3 linked regions of the Mus musculus genome follow. The protein of the gene in region 3 interacts with the protein of the main gene of each other region in a biochemical or structural test. Links are inferred from orthologs where the notes say so. Each region holds a gene or a part of one and is shown on either strand. Other genes may lie near its edges.

Evidence for each region.
Region 1: the proteins of Magi1 (region 3) and Adrb1 interact in a test that uses a peptide from one of them, tested with the Homo sapiens proteins (2 studies listed by IntAct). The link is inferred for Mus musculus from reciprocal best matches to the Homo sapiens genes MAGI1 and ADRB1.
Region 2: the proteins of Magi1 (region 3) and Net1 form a complex in vitro, tested with the Homo sapiens proteins (3 studies listed by BioGRID and IntAct, with this or other methods). The link is inferred for Mus musculus from reciprocal best matches to the Homo sapiens genes MAGI1 and NET1.

The regions. Positions count from the first base shown.
Region 1 is NC_000085.6:56,720,962-56,724,947, forward strand, and holds the start of Adrb1 (beta-1 adrenergic receptor), read left to right. Parts: upstream 1-1,155; 5' UTR 1,156-1,410; coding exon 1,411-2,811; 3' UTR 2,812-3,986. UniProt on the Homo sapiens protein: Beta-adrenergic receptors mediate the catecholamine-induced activation of adenylate cyclase through the action of G proteins. This receptor binds epinephrine and norepinephrine with approximately equal affinity.
Region 2 is NC_000079.6:3,915,390-3,919,561, reverse strand, and holds the start of Net1 (neuroepithelial cell-transforming gene 1 protein), read left to right. Parts: upstream 1-1,341; 5' UTR 1,342-1,496; coding exon 1,497-1,624; intron 1,625-4,172. UniProt on the Homo sapiens protein: Acts as a guanine nucleotide exchange factor (GEF) for RhoA GTPase. May be involved in activation of the SAPK/JNK pathway Stimulates genotoxic stress-induced RHOB activity in breast cancer cells leading to their cell death.
Region 3 is NC_000072.6:94,281,112-94,285,462, reverse strand, and holds the start of Magi1 (membrane-associated guanylate kinase, WW and PDZ domain-containing protein 1), read left to right. Parts: upstream 1-1,545; 5' UTR 1,546-2,140; coding exon 2,141-2,453; intron 2,454-4,351. UniProt on the Homo sapiens protein: Plays a role in coupling actin fibers to cell junctions in endothelial cells, via its interaction with AMOTL2 and CDH5. May regulate acid-induced ASIC3 currents by modulating its expression at the cell surface.

The DNA.
Region 1 (3,986 bases), on a different chromosome or scaffold from region 3:
TGAGTATGTATATATTTTCTTCCCTCATCTTCCCAAAGCTAATCCCACAGTTTTGAGAATCTAGCCACCCTCCCAAGAAATCTGAAATCCCAGTTCATGACGTCAACCCAAAAGGGATAGCACCTTGTGTTGGCTCAGCTCAGATTGCAAAATCCCATGGGTAACGGAGCACAGATGCGGATGTTAAGGTGTTGGTACTGGAGTCAAAAAGTCTGAAGCGTCATTCTCCGTGTTCTTTCCACGAGGGGCGTGGGGGTGGGGCGACGTCATTTACCCTGGACTGAATGTTGCCCTAAACTTCTCCTTTATATTCAGAACTCTTTCATCCTTTTCTTTAGCTGGGACTGGGGCCTGTGTGTGTATCCGACTGGTCCTCGGTGTTGGCAGTTACATCCACAAACCTTCCCTTCCTTTCCCCATCTACTGCACTTGAAGGAGAGAGCACAGCTCCGCGCGAGAACAGCGCCCAGAGAGCCTTTCTGACAGATGCGTACCCTGCTCCAGCAACCCGCCTGGCTGCAAAGTTTCCTCTAATCACTAACACCCACTTCCTATTCCCCCAAGCTGTCATGCTGGCCAGGTCCCCTCGCGATCAGGGAAGAGCCAGGCTGCCTGATGGCAGAACCCCAGTCTCACAGCTAAATTCCTCCAATCCCAGCAGATAGGCTGTCCAAGGCACTCCTGCGTCTCCGAGACGCCTGTAAGGTTCTCTTATAGCTACCAGGAACCGGGCACTAGAGGCGAGGGAACTACGGGGTGCCGAAGGGAAATAAGGGCGCTCTTGCGGGAGCGGCAAAAGGAGAGCTGGGTGCTAAGGTTAACGGAGACTACTGGTTGGCGGGGGGCACAGGAGGCGGCGGGGCGCCGCAGGGGGCGCCGCAGACTAGACTCTGGAAGAAGCCTGAGCAGGAAAGGGCGCGCTCGCTGCAGCCCGTGGGTGCTGGCTGCGTAGTCCGCCCGCAATCTTTGGAGCCTTTCAATCGCGGGTAGGAGGGGGTGCTGGGTGTTGGGGGTGGGGGCACCATTGTCGGGGGCGTGCCTTGGCGGCGATTGGCTGCGGGAGCCTGACGCGCGGCCCCGGGGGCTGGCTGGGGGGGTGGCAGCGAAGGGGGGGGGGGAGGTGCTGGGTGTTGGAGCCGCCGGCCCCGCGCGCTCAGAAACATGCTGAGGTCCCGGCGGCTCTTCCAGCAGCGACAGCGGCTCCAGCAGCAGCGGCGGCGGCGGCGGCGGAGACAGCGCTCGGCTACGGAGGAGAAGGCGCCCGGCGTCCATGCCTCCGGCCCCGAGCCGCGGCTGCCCTGACCTGGCCGCGACCTCCCCGCGCGGGCCCCGCAGCCCCGGCTCCTGGGGTGCTCCCCAGGCGCGGCCCAGCCCCGCCACACCCCCCGCCCCCGGCCTCCGCAGCTCGGCATGGGCGCGGGGGCGCTCGCCCTGGGCGCCTCCGAACCCTGCAACCTGTCGTCCGCCGCGCCGCTGCCCGACGGTGCGGCCACCGCGGCGCGGCTGCTGGTGCTCGCGTCGCCTCCCGCCTCGCTGCTGCCTCCAGCCAGCGAGGGCTCAGCGCCGCTGTCGCAGCAGTGGACCGCGGGTATGGGCCTACTGCTGGCGCTCATCGTTCTGCTCATCGTGGTGGGTAACGTGCTGGTGATCGTGGCCATCGCCAAGACCCCGCGGCTGCAGACGCTCACCAACCTCTTCATCATGTCCCTGGCCAGCGCTGATCTGGTCATGGGATTGCTGGTGGTGCCTTTCGGGGCCACCATCGTGGTGTGGGGCCGCTGGGAGTACGGCTCCTTCTTCTGCGAGCTCTGGACTTCGGTAGATGTGCTGTGTGTGACGGCCAGCATTGAGACCCTGTGTGTCATCGCCCTGGACCGCTACCTCGCCATCACGTCGCCCTTTCGCTACCAGAGTTTGCTGACGCGCGCGCGAGCGCGGGCCCTCGTGTGCACAGTGTGGGCCATCTCGGCGTTGGTGTCCTTCCTGCCCATCCTCATGCACTGGTGGCGGGCCGAGAGCGACGAAGCGCGCCGCTGCTACAACGACCCCAAGTGCTGCGATTTCGTCACCAACAGGGCCTACGCCATCGCCTCGTCCGTCGTCTCCTTCTACGTGCCCCTGTGCATCATGGCCTTCGTGTACCTGCGGGTGTTCCGCGAGGCCCAAAAACAGGTAAAGAAGATCGACAGCTGCGAGCGCCGCTTCCTCGGCGGCCCAGCCCGGCCGCCCTCGCCTGAGCCCTCGCCGTCACCTGGGCCACCGCGCCCCGCAGACTCGCTGGCCAACGGGCGCTCCAGCAAGCGGCGGCCGTCGCGCCTCGTGGCTCTGCGCGAGCAGAAGGCGCTCAAGACACTGGGCATCATCATGGGTGTGTTCACGCTCTGCTGGCTGCCCTTCTTCCTGGCCAACGTGGTGAAGGCTTTCCACCGCGACCTGGTGCCGGATCGCCTCTTCGTCTTCTTCAACTGGCTGGGCTACGCCAACTCGGCCTTCAACCCCATCATCTACTGCCGCAGCCCCGACTTCCGCAAGGCTTTCCAGCGCCTGCTCTGCTGCGCGCGCCGGGCCGCCTGCAGACGCCGCGCAGCCCACGGGGACCGGCCGCGCGCCTCCGGCTGCCTGGCGAGAGCTGGGCCGCCGCCGTCCCCCGGAGCTCCCTCGGACGACGACGACGACGACGCCGGGACCACCCCACCGGCGCGCCTGCTGGAGCCCTGGACCGGCTGCAACGGCGGGACAACCACTGTGGACAGCGATTCGAGCCTGGACGAGCCGGGGCGCCAGGGCTTCTCCTCGGAGTCCAAGGTGTAGAGAGCCAGGCTCTCTGGGCGCACGGACGCCGCTCCCCATAGTCCCGGGCTGGACACGGGCTCTGCATCCCTAGAGGAAGAGAGCCCGCCTGGGCGCCCCTGAGCCGCTCCCCAGGGGAGAGAGGAGATCTCTGTTTACTCAAGACCGAAAGCAGGTGAATGCAAAGCCCACAGATCTATCGAATCATCCGAGACGTACAGAAAAGCCCCGGACCGAGCGTTTGCGCAAAAAGGAAAGTTTAGGAGGAGTTGGGAGAGTGTGGCTTAGTATGGCTTACTGGCTTGTCTTGAGTTCCTTTCTCTCTGAGGTTCGGCCTTTCGTGTGTTTAATGCACCTTCAGGCATTCCCCCCCCCCCCCGCCCCTAGGTGGGTTTTGACACTTTCTGCAAGGACCCGAGTGGAAACTAGGCGGGGAGGGGAGGGGGCAGGATGGAGTCTATCACCTGGCTTTCCGGTTCCACACCTAGGAACCTAAGTATTCAGCTCAGGTTTGGTGTGGGGGCGGGGCCGGTGATAATTAGCCAGGAAGTGTTTCCCTTTGCTTTCTAAAGAAATTGCATACTAATTCCGGAGTACTGGTGTCTCCTGTTCTTAAAGCAAAGGGAAAAGAAGGATGCGAAACAGACAAATCTGGTTTCGAGAAACTATGTGTGGAGCACGGTTCACCTTGCTTTCTCCTAGAGGGCAAACCTTGTGCCCTGCGCGCCTCGGTGGTCCTGCTGTGGGTCCTCTACCTCACTCTGTGCATATTGCACAGCAAGATAGAAAGACTTGTTTATATTAAACAGCTTATTTATGTATCAATACTAGTTGGAAGGACCAGGCGCTGAGTCTCTCTCTGTGACATGTGACTCTGTCAACTAAAGATAGGACAGAACAAAAAGGAAACAGTTGAGATTATTGCACATGTGGCTAAAAACAAAGACGGCAAAAAAAAAAAAAAAAGGCAGTGGTTGGAAGGCCATTTTGCACAGTGTTAGGCATTGTAAAATTCATAGAAGTTGTTAACTTGCACAAAAAAAATTAAATATTTTTACTGGGATGGGGAGGTGGGCAGATCTTTAAAAAGCTAAAATAAAATTCAAACTCAGTTTCTCTTGTCTATTATGTTATTGAGTTGATGGTTTATTGGGAAGTTACTTTTTATACTCTTATCATGGTACTGTAACTGTATC
Region 2 (4,172 bases), on a different chromosome or scaffold from region 3:
TCACTGTGGGTGTGAGCTTGAATACCCTTGTTCTATCTGCCTGGAAGCCAGTATTCTGCTAGCAGCCTTCAGATGAAGATATAGAACTCTCAGCTCTTCCTGTACCATGCCTGCCTGGATGCTGCCATGTTCCTGCCTTGATGATAATGGACTGAATCTGTATTCCAGCCCCAATTAAATATTGTCCTTATAAGGGCTGTCTCTTTCATGGTGTCTGTTCACAGCAGTAAAACCCTAAAACAGAATTTTTCTAAATTGACATAAAACTAGCCATCATTGTTCTATATTTCATATTTTATGCTTTCAGTTAAAATCACAATGTTTTGTTTTACTATATACCTCTTATTTTTAATTTTCTTTTATTTTCAAGATTATAATATAATCACACCATTTTCTCCCTTCTCTTTTCTCCTTCCCAACTCTCTCCTATACCCCTTCTTGCTATCTTTCACATTCATGGACTCTTTTTATTAATTATTGTTACATAGTCAATATGTAACAATATGTTATACATATATGTTCCTAAATACACAAATACAGCCAGCTCAGTCTGTATGATGTTATTTGTATGTTTTCAGGGCTAGCTGTTAGTATTGGCTAACCAATGGTATTCCCTGAAGAAGACCATTTCTTTATCGGCTGAATGCAGTCTTCACAGTTAATCAGTTATATTTAGACATCTCCCAGTCATTCATTTAGATTGCCTTTAATTTTTCTATTATACACAACATCATTAATATCTCCCTGTATACAAGAGAGACTACATTTAAGACCATTAGCGATATTTAAAATCAGAGAACGTTTTTATTTACCAATCTTCACATAATAACCTGAGCAGGGTCCCTTGTTTCATGCTGCACGTTTTGCAGTCTTGCAAGCAGAGAAAGCAGCCCTTTCCATTCGGTAAAGCGACTGTGTCCTACTTACTGAAAGACAGGAGTACATAACTAGATTTCACTGGTTCTCTAGAGACATCCTGGAGAACAAAGTATTGTCTTTGGCAATTGGGAATATATTCCACATGTATAACTTAGTGTTTATACGTCCAACTGCCTCTTGCTTTGGGGTCAATACCTTCATCCTGTCTAACGCTAAACAACAACAAATGATAAACAGCTTCCGATCCATTTTCCTGCCCTGCAAGTGAAAGTTCTAGTGAATAGAGACTGCCTTTCAGGAGTAAGGTGTGTAGTTAAAATAAATCCCCAAATTCCTAACTTTCACCTTACCACTTTCCCTTTGTCACTGGAGCTCCTAAAAGTTTGGTATGAAGTCTTCTGATTAGGGCGGGACTCCACGTAGCCTAGCAACCGCTTCCCACTCTCTGATTGGCCGATCTCTGGGCAGCCGCCATTTTCAAATCCCCGGATGACGGCGGTAGCCGCTCTCTGCTAGAAGGCGACTTGCTGCCTCGCAGAAGCTGGCGGGCATTGTGCCCGCCACGATCGGTCTCCTGGGCACTGGGCCACCGCCCCACCAACCCCCCTTCTCCGGACATGGAGCCAGAGCCGGCGGCTCAGAAGCAGCCCCGACCTCGGAGGAGAAGCCGCAGGGTCTCAATGCTCAGCGAGGAACCTGCCGCGGGGCTTCCGGCCGACACACCCGGGCCGGCGGCGAACGAGAGGTGAGGGTGGCGGGAGGTGGGTGAGAGCCGGGGACCGAGTCTGGAGACTCAGGACGGGATGGACTGGACGGTGGGTGACCAAGGACTGGCAGTGCAGTAGGGGAGGTTGGGGAAGGCCGGGCAGAAATGCCGCGGGAGGAGAGTGCGCTGCCCGGCGGGCTGCACCGAGGGCTGCACAGCGACTGCTCGGCCCTGCGTAGAAGGGGTGGACTCGTTGGACTTGTTGACAATCTCCTTTAACCCCGTCCCTGGGGAACCGTACATCTGCACCAGAGCTGTTCTCTACCAGAAACTAGTTGTGGATGCAGGCGCTCAGATCAAGACTGTCGTGGACCCTGTGATGAGAAGAGGAATTGTCACCTGAACAGATACCAACCCTTTCAGCCTAAAAGCGGCTGTTCAAATGAAATGTCCTTTGCAGACCAGAACAGGACAGGCTCCTGGAATGAAGAGATCAGAGAAAGACTCTTTCTGGCTTTTCAGTTATTAGCACATTTTCACATTCTGTGTTGTATCTTCATTTCTATGTGTCTGGGAAAGGCAAACACTAGGTTGATTTCAGAAATCTGTGTCTGGAAGAGAGGCTGTGGGAGTCATAATATTTTTATTAAATAGGAAATTGAAATGGCATTTGTCTGGACTACTCTGTCATTCTTTTGCCCTTCGAAATATGAGAAATGGTCTCAAAGTACTGAATGCAATGGTTTCCCATTATAACGTTAGACATTGAGTTACAAAGTATGTAACTTTGTTCAAATCTACGTCTACATAGTGAGTTTATGATAGTGTCTGCCTCATATAAGGCACTGTGTGAACATCAGTACTTATCATGGGCCTCGGCAGAAAACTCGGCAGAAATCTTGTCTGTCAGTTTTAAATCTGTTAAAGTAACAGTGCTGTGTCTGCTCCATCTTTTCAGACATCCCCATGGTCCACTTGACATGATTTCAGGGTTTTTTTGGTTTTGTTTCTGAGACAAGTTCTCACTGTGTAACTTGGTTACCCCAGAACTCACTACCTGTGTAGAGACGCTGGCCACAAACTCATATTGTACTTCTGTACCAGAGCTGTTCTCCATGGAAACTGGTGGACTGTAGGTGGTCTTACATCCATAGGACTATTGGTGAGAAGAGGAATTGTCACCAAGCAGGCTCCAAACCGTTCTGCCTAAAAACTGGTCTTTCTTCCTTAGCCTCCCCCTGTTCTCGGATTGCAGTGTGAACCTCGACGCCCAGGTCATTTGATAGGATGTTAAATTAATCTTTTATATAGCTTATAATCTAATCATGACAAATGGTTTTGAGGAAAAAGCAAACACCTTACTTTCATTATCAAGGCATGGGCAAACCCATTGTATTAAGTAACTCTATAAAGAGCTAGATTCTTTCAGTTAGTACTGATTTTTATGAGTTTGAAGTTTAAGGCAATATTTACCAGAATTCTTGCCTTCTGAAACTTCCTCTCTTCCAATCAGACCGTGTGTTTAAGAAGTCAGAGTGCAGAAAGAAGGCATCTTTGAGACTGAGAATTACAAGAATTAGGATGGGCTAGTGAAGGAGCAGAAAAGGAGGACTTCCTGAAGATGAACAGAAGCAGTGCTTCATTCCACGTGTGCTCAGTGTAATACAGTTGCACCTGCCCTAGCATCAGACACTGTTGAGGATGATGGGGATTCAGGTGAACAAAAGCAGATGGAGCGCTTGCTCTCAGGAACCTTAGATTCTCTTGGGAGGCGTTGGTCACATCATGCAGTGAATTTAAGCCTTTTTGATTCTGTGCAGAAGAGGAAAGATTCTAGGGCCCAGAGTTGGTAGATGACTCCAAGGAAACAGTATCCTCCAGACATAAGAGCACTGATGCACATCTAAACTTACAGAGATTGAAGGAATGCACAAGACCTGCAACAGGTTCAAACCAGACAAGATCCTAGCACTGAGAATGGGAGAGTTGACACACCATCCCACTCAGAACCAAGAAGCTGTTTGCAATTGATACCTCCTGGGAAAAGGAAAATTGTTGTTTTGTTTTGTTCCAGTGGAGTATTGGTATATCAACCACACTCCAGAGCAAGGCCCATGCCCAGGTGTCTTGGTCACTGATCCATTTTTGTGAAGAGACACCATAATCGAGGCAAAACTTAAAGAAAAGGTTTAACTGAGCCTGGCTTACAGTTTCAGAGGGTAGTCCATTATTATCATCATCATGGGACGCATGTAAGCAGACATGGTGCTAGAGAAGTAGCCAGAGCGCTTTATCCCCATCTGCAGGCAGAAGACAGTCTGACAGGGCCTGGCATGGGCTTTTGAAACCCCAAAATTCATCCCCAGTGACATACTCCTTCAACAAGGCCACACCTCTTAATCCTTCTAATCCTTTTCAAGAGTTTGCATTCAAATATATAAGCCTATAGGTGTTGTCTTATTTTCAAAACTTACTTTAATAAGGGTTCTTAAATGCTTCAACCTCCATTCTAACCTACCACCCACCAGAAGTAATGAAAAGGTTAATAGGGCAAAGGCAGATGTAGACCTGTTTAGAAGGGGTGATT
Region 3 (4,351 bases):
TCCTTTCACCTTTTCAAATAATCAGGAGCAAGACGGTTTTTTGTGTGTAGCCAGTCTTAGGGAGCCCAGGCCATCCTCTCCTAGACTTTGCCTTGAATTCTTGGTCCCCATGCCTCAGCCTCACAAGTACCAGGATTACAGATGTAAAACGCCAGGCCCTCATTCTTATTAACTTAGAATAGCTCTCTAGAAACAGGGCTTGAAGAGCTTAAATGTATGCTTATGTTCTAGAGAGGGGATTACAACCCCAACCACTAAGGACTCTGACACCCCCCCCCCCCCCAGTTATCAGACTGTGAAATTTTATATGCCACCATAAATTATTTACTTTGCAAGTTTCCAGTGCCTATGTATTATTTCTAACAACTCTGTGTGTGAGGTGGGGTGGGGTGGGGGTGGGGGTGGAGGAGGGGGTGGGGGTGGGGGTGGGAGTGATTGTATTCCTCCAGCCTTGGCAAGTGGAAGGTCTTCACTTAATGTTGTACTTAAGATGCCTGCGGAATCTGAACTTCAGACCTATCCTCTCGACCCACCTCAGTGACATCCTCATCTCTCTGAGTGGCTCCAACTCAGCTCCTTTTATCTAGTAGATTCTCAAGTCCGTGACCAAAGAGGAACTCATTGGAAACCACTGAAAAATAAACAAAACCGCTAGGGCCACCACTGCACTGGCTTCTTGGCGGTGGGGGCTGTTCTTTCTGTCCCGGCCTCACCAGTGCCCCGATTACTGGACCCCGCCTCTGGGCGGCGAATTCCGAGGTGGCCGGCTCGCCCACGCTTGTGCAGGACCCGCACCCTGCGGTGATCTTTACTCCCCAAAGCAGTGCTTAGGTTTCTCGGCTCTCCTAGAAGCCAAAGGGGGCTGGCCACCGCCGCCCCCTTTGCTGGAAGGACAATGAGAGGCCAGCGAGAAGTCTTAGGTAAAAAGGCCACGCTAGCTTTGGCTTTTCTCGCTCGCTGGCAGTTTTTTCCTTGTCCTAAAAAGTTGGCCCCAAAGTTTAACGATGGGAGCGTATGTGTAGGTGCGTTTGGTGGGCGCGGACAGGGATGCAGAGGGTGTGTGGGTCTTGTTGATTCGGGTCCTCAGGGTCACAGAGACAAGAGCCAGGCTCCGCATGTGGACTTGAACCCCTGGGCGGGGAGCAGGCGCGGAAATGTGGCGGAAGGCGCGTGAGCGATGGCGTGGCCAGGCACTAGCGGAGGACGAGGAGGGACCCGGGTAGGCAGCAAGAGTGTGAGCCCCGCGCTGAATTGGTCTCCCAGCCCCCACCTGTTTGAAACGATTTGCAAACACCAAAGCCAAATTCTCTGTGTTCCAAAAGTTCGAGAGCTGGAGTCGGGCAAGCACACGTGTTCCCCCAAAAGGCTCTGGCTGAGCCGACCACACTGCAAGAGGAGGAATTCTAGGGGTGCAGGGAGAGGAGCAAGTTGGCGTCAATGAAGGGTCGGCCCTAGGACCCCGCGGGAGGCGCGTTGGAATCTCTCCCTTCCAGGAGGAGGGGTGGGGCGGGCCTGCCCGCGGGCGGCCGCCGGGCGCATGCGCGCGCGTCTCCTCTCCAGCCGGCCGCTGCGCTCCGCCGCGCGGAGTAGAATGAACTGTAACAAAACAAGCCGAGCCTTTGTATCTGCTTAAAGGGGCCGCGGCCACTTCCCTCGCGTCCCCTCACCCCCGCCCCGCGCCGTCGCGTCTCCAGGGCTCCCGGCAACTAGCTTGGAAAGGGCTTCCCTCGCGCTGAGGAGCGGCCGGCCGGCGCGGAGCAGGCGCGGCGTGTGTGGAGAGAGCCGCGGAGCGGAGAGCGGGCCCGGGCGGCGCCGGAGTGGACTCTGGTCCCGGGAGCGCGGTCGGCGCCGGAACGCGGACCCGGAGGCACCGGAATGCAAACAAAGCTCGCGGGCGCCCGTGCAGGGCTCTTCACGGAGCCCGGAAAGTTTGTTTTATGATGGCTTGAGAGCGCGAGAGAGTCGGGCGAGGAGGCTCGAGTAGCTCGCTCCCGCGCTCCGAGAGATGCTTCTCCCGTGAGCCCGCCGCTCCGGGGGCTCGTGCTGTGGGGGCACCTGTCTCTCGTTTTAGCAGTTTTCTTTTCTTTTTCTTTTTTTCTTTAATTTGAATTTTGTTTTCGAGGAGGGGCTGTAACTCATCATGTCGAAAGTGATCCAGAAGAAGAACCACTGGACTGGCCGCGTTCACGAGTGCACCGTGAAGCGGGGACCCCAGGGCGAGCTGGGGGTGACGGTCCTGGGGGGCGCGGAGCATGGGGAGTTTCCGTACGTGGGGGCGGTGGCGGCGGCCGAGGCGGCGGGGCTTCCCGGCGGTGGCGAGGGGCCGAAGCTGGCCGAAGGTGAGCTGCTGCTGGAGGTGCAGGGGGTCCGGGTGTCCGGCTTGCCCCGCTATGACGTGCTGGGAGTCATCGACAGCTGCAAGGAGGCCGTCACCTTCAAAGCCGTCAGACAAGGTAAGACGGGGCGTGCCTTTGGGGGGCGCACCCCGAAAAAGAGGGGAGGCCTGAGGGGGCGCCGTTTGCTCCGAGTGCTGTGAGCCAAAGTTGAGGCCCGGACCAGATGCACTCAAAGTTGTGAGGTTGTGGGCTGTGCGCCCACCTGCGTGGCGGGCTGGGGCCGGGGTTGCGCCGGGAAGCGGGGAGATGCTTCCCAGGTCTGGTTTGCCAACTTCTAGGTCGTAGCCACCTAGTGCTGCGCAGCCTCGCCTTCACCTTAAGGCAGATGGGGAACTGAGGGAGGCTAAGGTGGACGCTTCCCCCAGCCCCTTACGGGATGGATGAGCTCACGGAGCTGGTGGCTTGCCACTGCCTGTTTCCCTGAACTGGAGAGTGGGTCGTGGAAGGAGAGGGTCTATTTATGGTTGATTGGAATTCTTCCATCACAGAATTTGCCTTCATCCTGCAACCCCTCCAGGTGGGGCTGGGTTATAACCCACTGGAGTCCTTAATCCAGCCTCCTGCAGAGCCCGCAATCACCCCACAGCGGGGTGACGTCTGTGTCTCCTCCTTGTGGAGACCTACGGTGGGGGAAGGGGTGATTAGCGCTTGGCGCGAATCTAGTCCAAGTTTACCCAGCCACCTCCTCCTCTTGCACCGTCGTCCTTATTGATGATGGTTGTTGAGAGTTACAATTCATTGTTAGCGTGTTATGTGAGAGGCTGTCTGTAAAGTGGTTTAATTGCATTATCTCATTCTGATTCACATCAATGCTATAAGAACGACTCGGTTTTTGTAAGTCCTATATTACAATAAGTAAGCCGGGTCTGACCTTAGGTAAATGACTTGCCCAAGGTCACACAACTACCAAAAGTGTATGGGTCTTTTTTTGTTAAACCTTGAGCAAGGAGGAGGAGGGCTTGAGGGGACGACTTTCGGGACCTGAGTTTTGGGGTGGGGGTGGGGAAGCAAATCCTCCCCTAGAAGTCTGTAGGATAAGGATGGCTTTCTGTAGGGTAAGGATGGCCGTGGGAGAGTACTCCCTCGCAGTTTGGTCTGAGCAATGGTCTGATCCTGTAGCTAGCCACCGGAGCATAGCTGCAGTCCTTAGAGGCATCCCTCCTGCACCCAAGTGCTGTGACGCAGGTTCTCCCAGATGAAAGCACCAGAGGAGGTGGCAGAGTTGAATGTGGTGAAAAGTTGCCATATGTTCCTGTCAGGATGGCAGCAGCTGAAGGAAACGTGTCAAAGGAAAGCGGGGAGAGCCAGCGCTCTCAGCAGCAGGCCGCTTCCAGATGACCGGAGGATGAGCGCAGTACTGTGTGCGGGGAGCCTAGTAGCCAGGCCTTTCTATCCTGTTGGGAGCGCAGAGGCTGACACCTAACAGTGGAATGTCCATATCCTGCTACTTGGCCTTGCTTGATGAATCTGTCCTTAGGAGTTTCTGGTAAAATCATAACCGAGGAAGTGTGCTGGTTCACAGTAAGTGCTCAGGAAAAGCGAGTTGTATTGGAGTTGGATTTAAGCAGTTAGCAATTCAGTTTTTAGCTAGGAATTTAATGCCAGTTCCCCGGGTGTTTATGACTTGGTAGAGCTGTTGAGATAACACTGTGACAGGCATTTATTTATTGGGGGAGGGGGGCAGCATTGGGTTTGAGTTCAGGCTCATTTTGCAGAAAGATTTCTCATCCGGCAGGATGGCAGGATGTCTGGGTGGTGGTAAATGGGTCCTAAGACTTGTTGACCATGGGCAAGAAGCTTCCAGAAGCTGAGCTCTTCCACTATTTTGCAGAGACCCTGGAGCTAGCTAGTACCCCTTCTCCCTCTCCACTCTCCCTTCCTCTCTCTCACCCCTCTGTGTGCACTTTAGTGGTGGTGGTGGGAGATGCCTGTGGATTTGACAGTTATTATAGTGC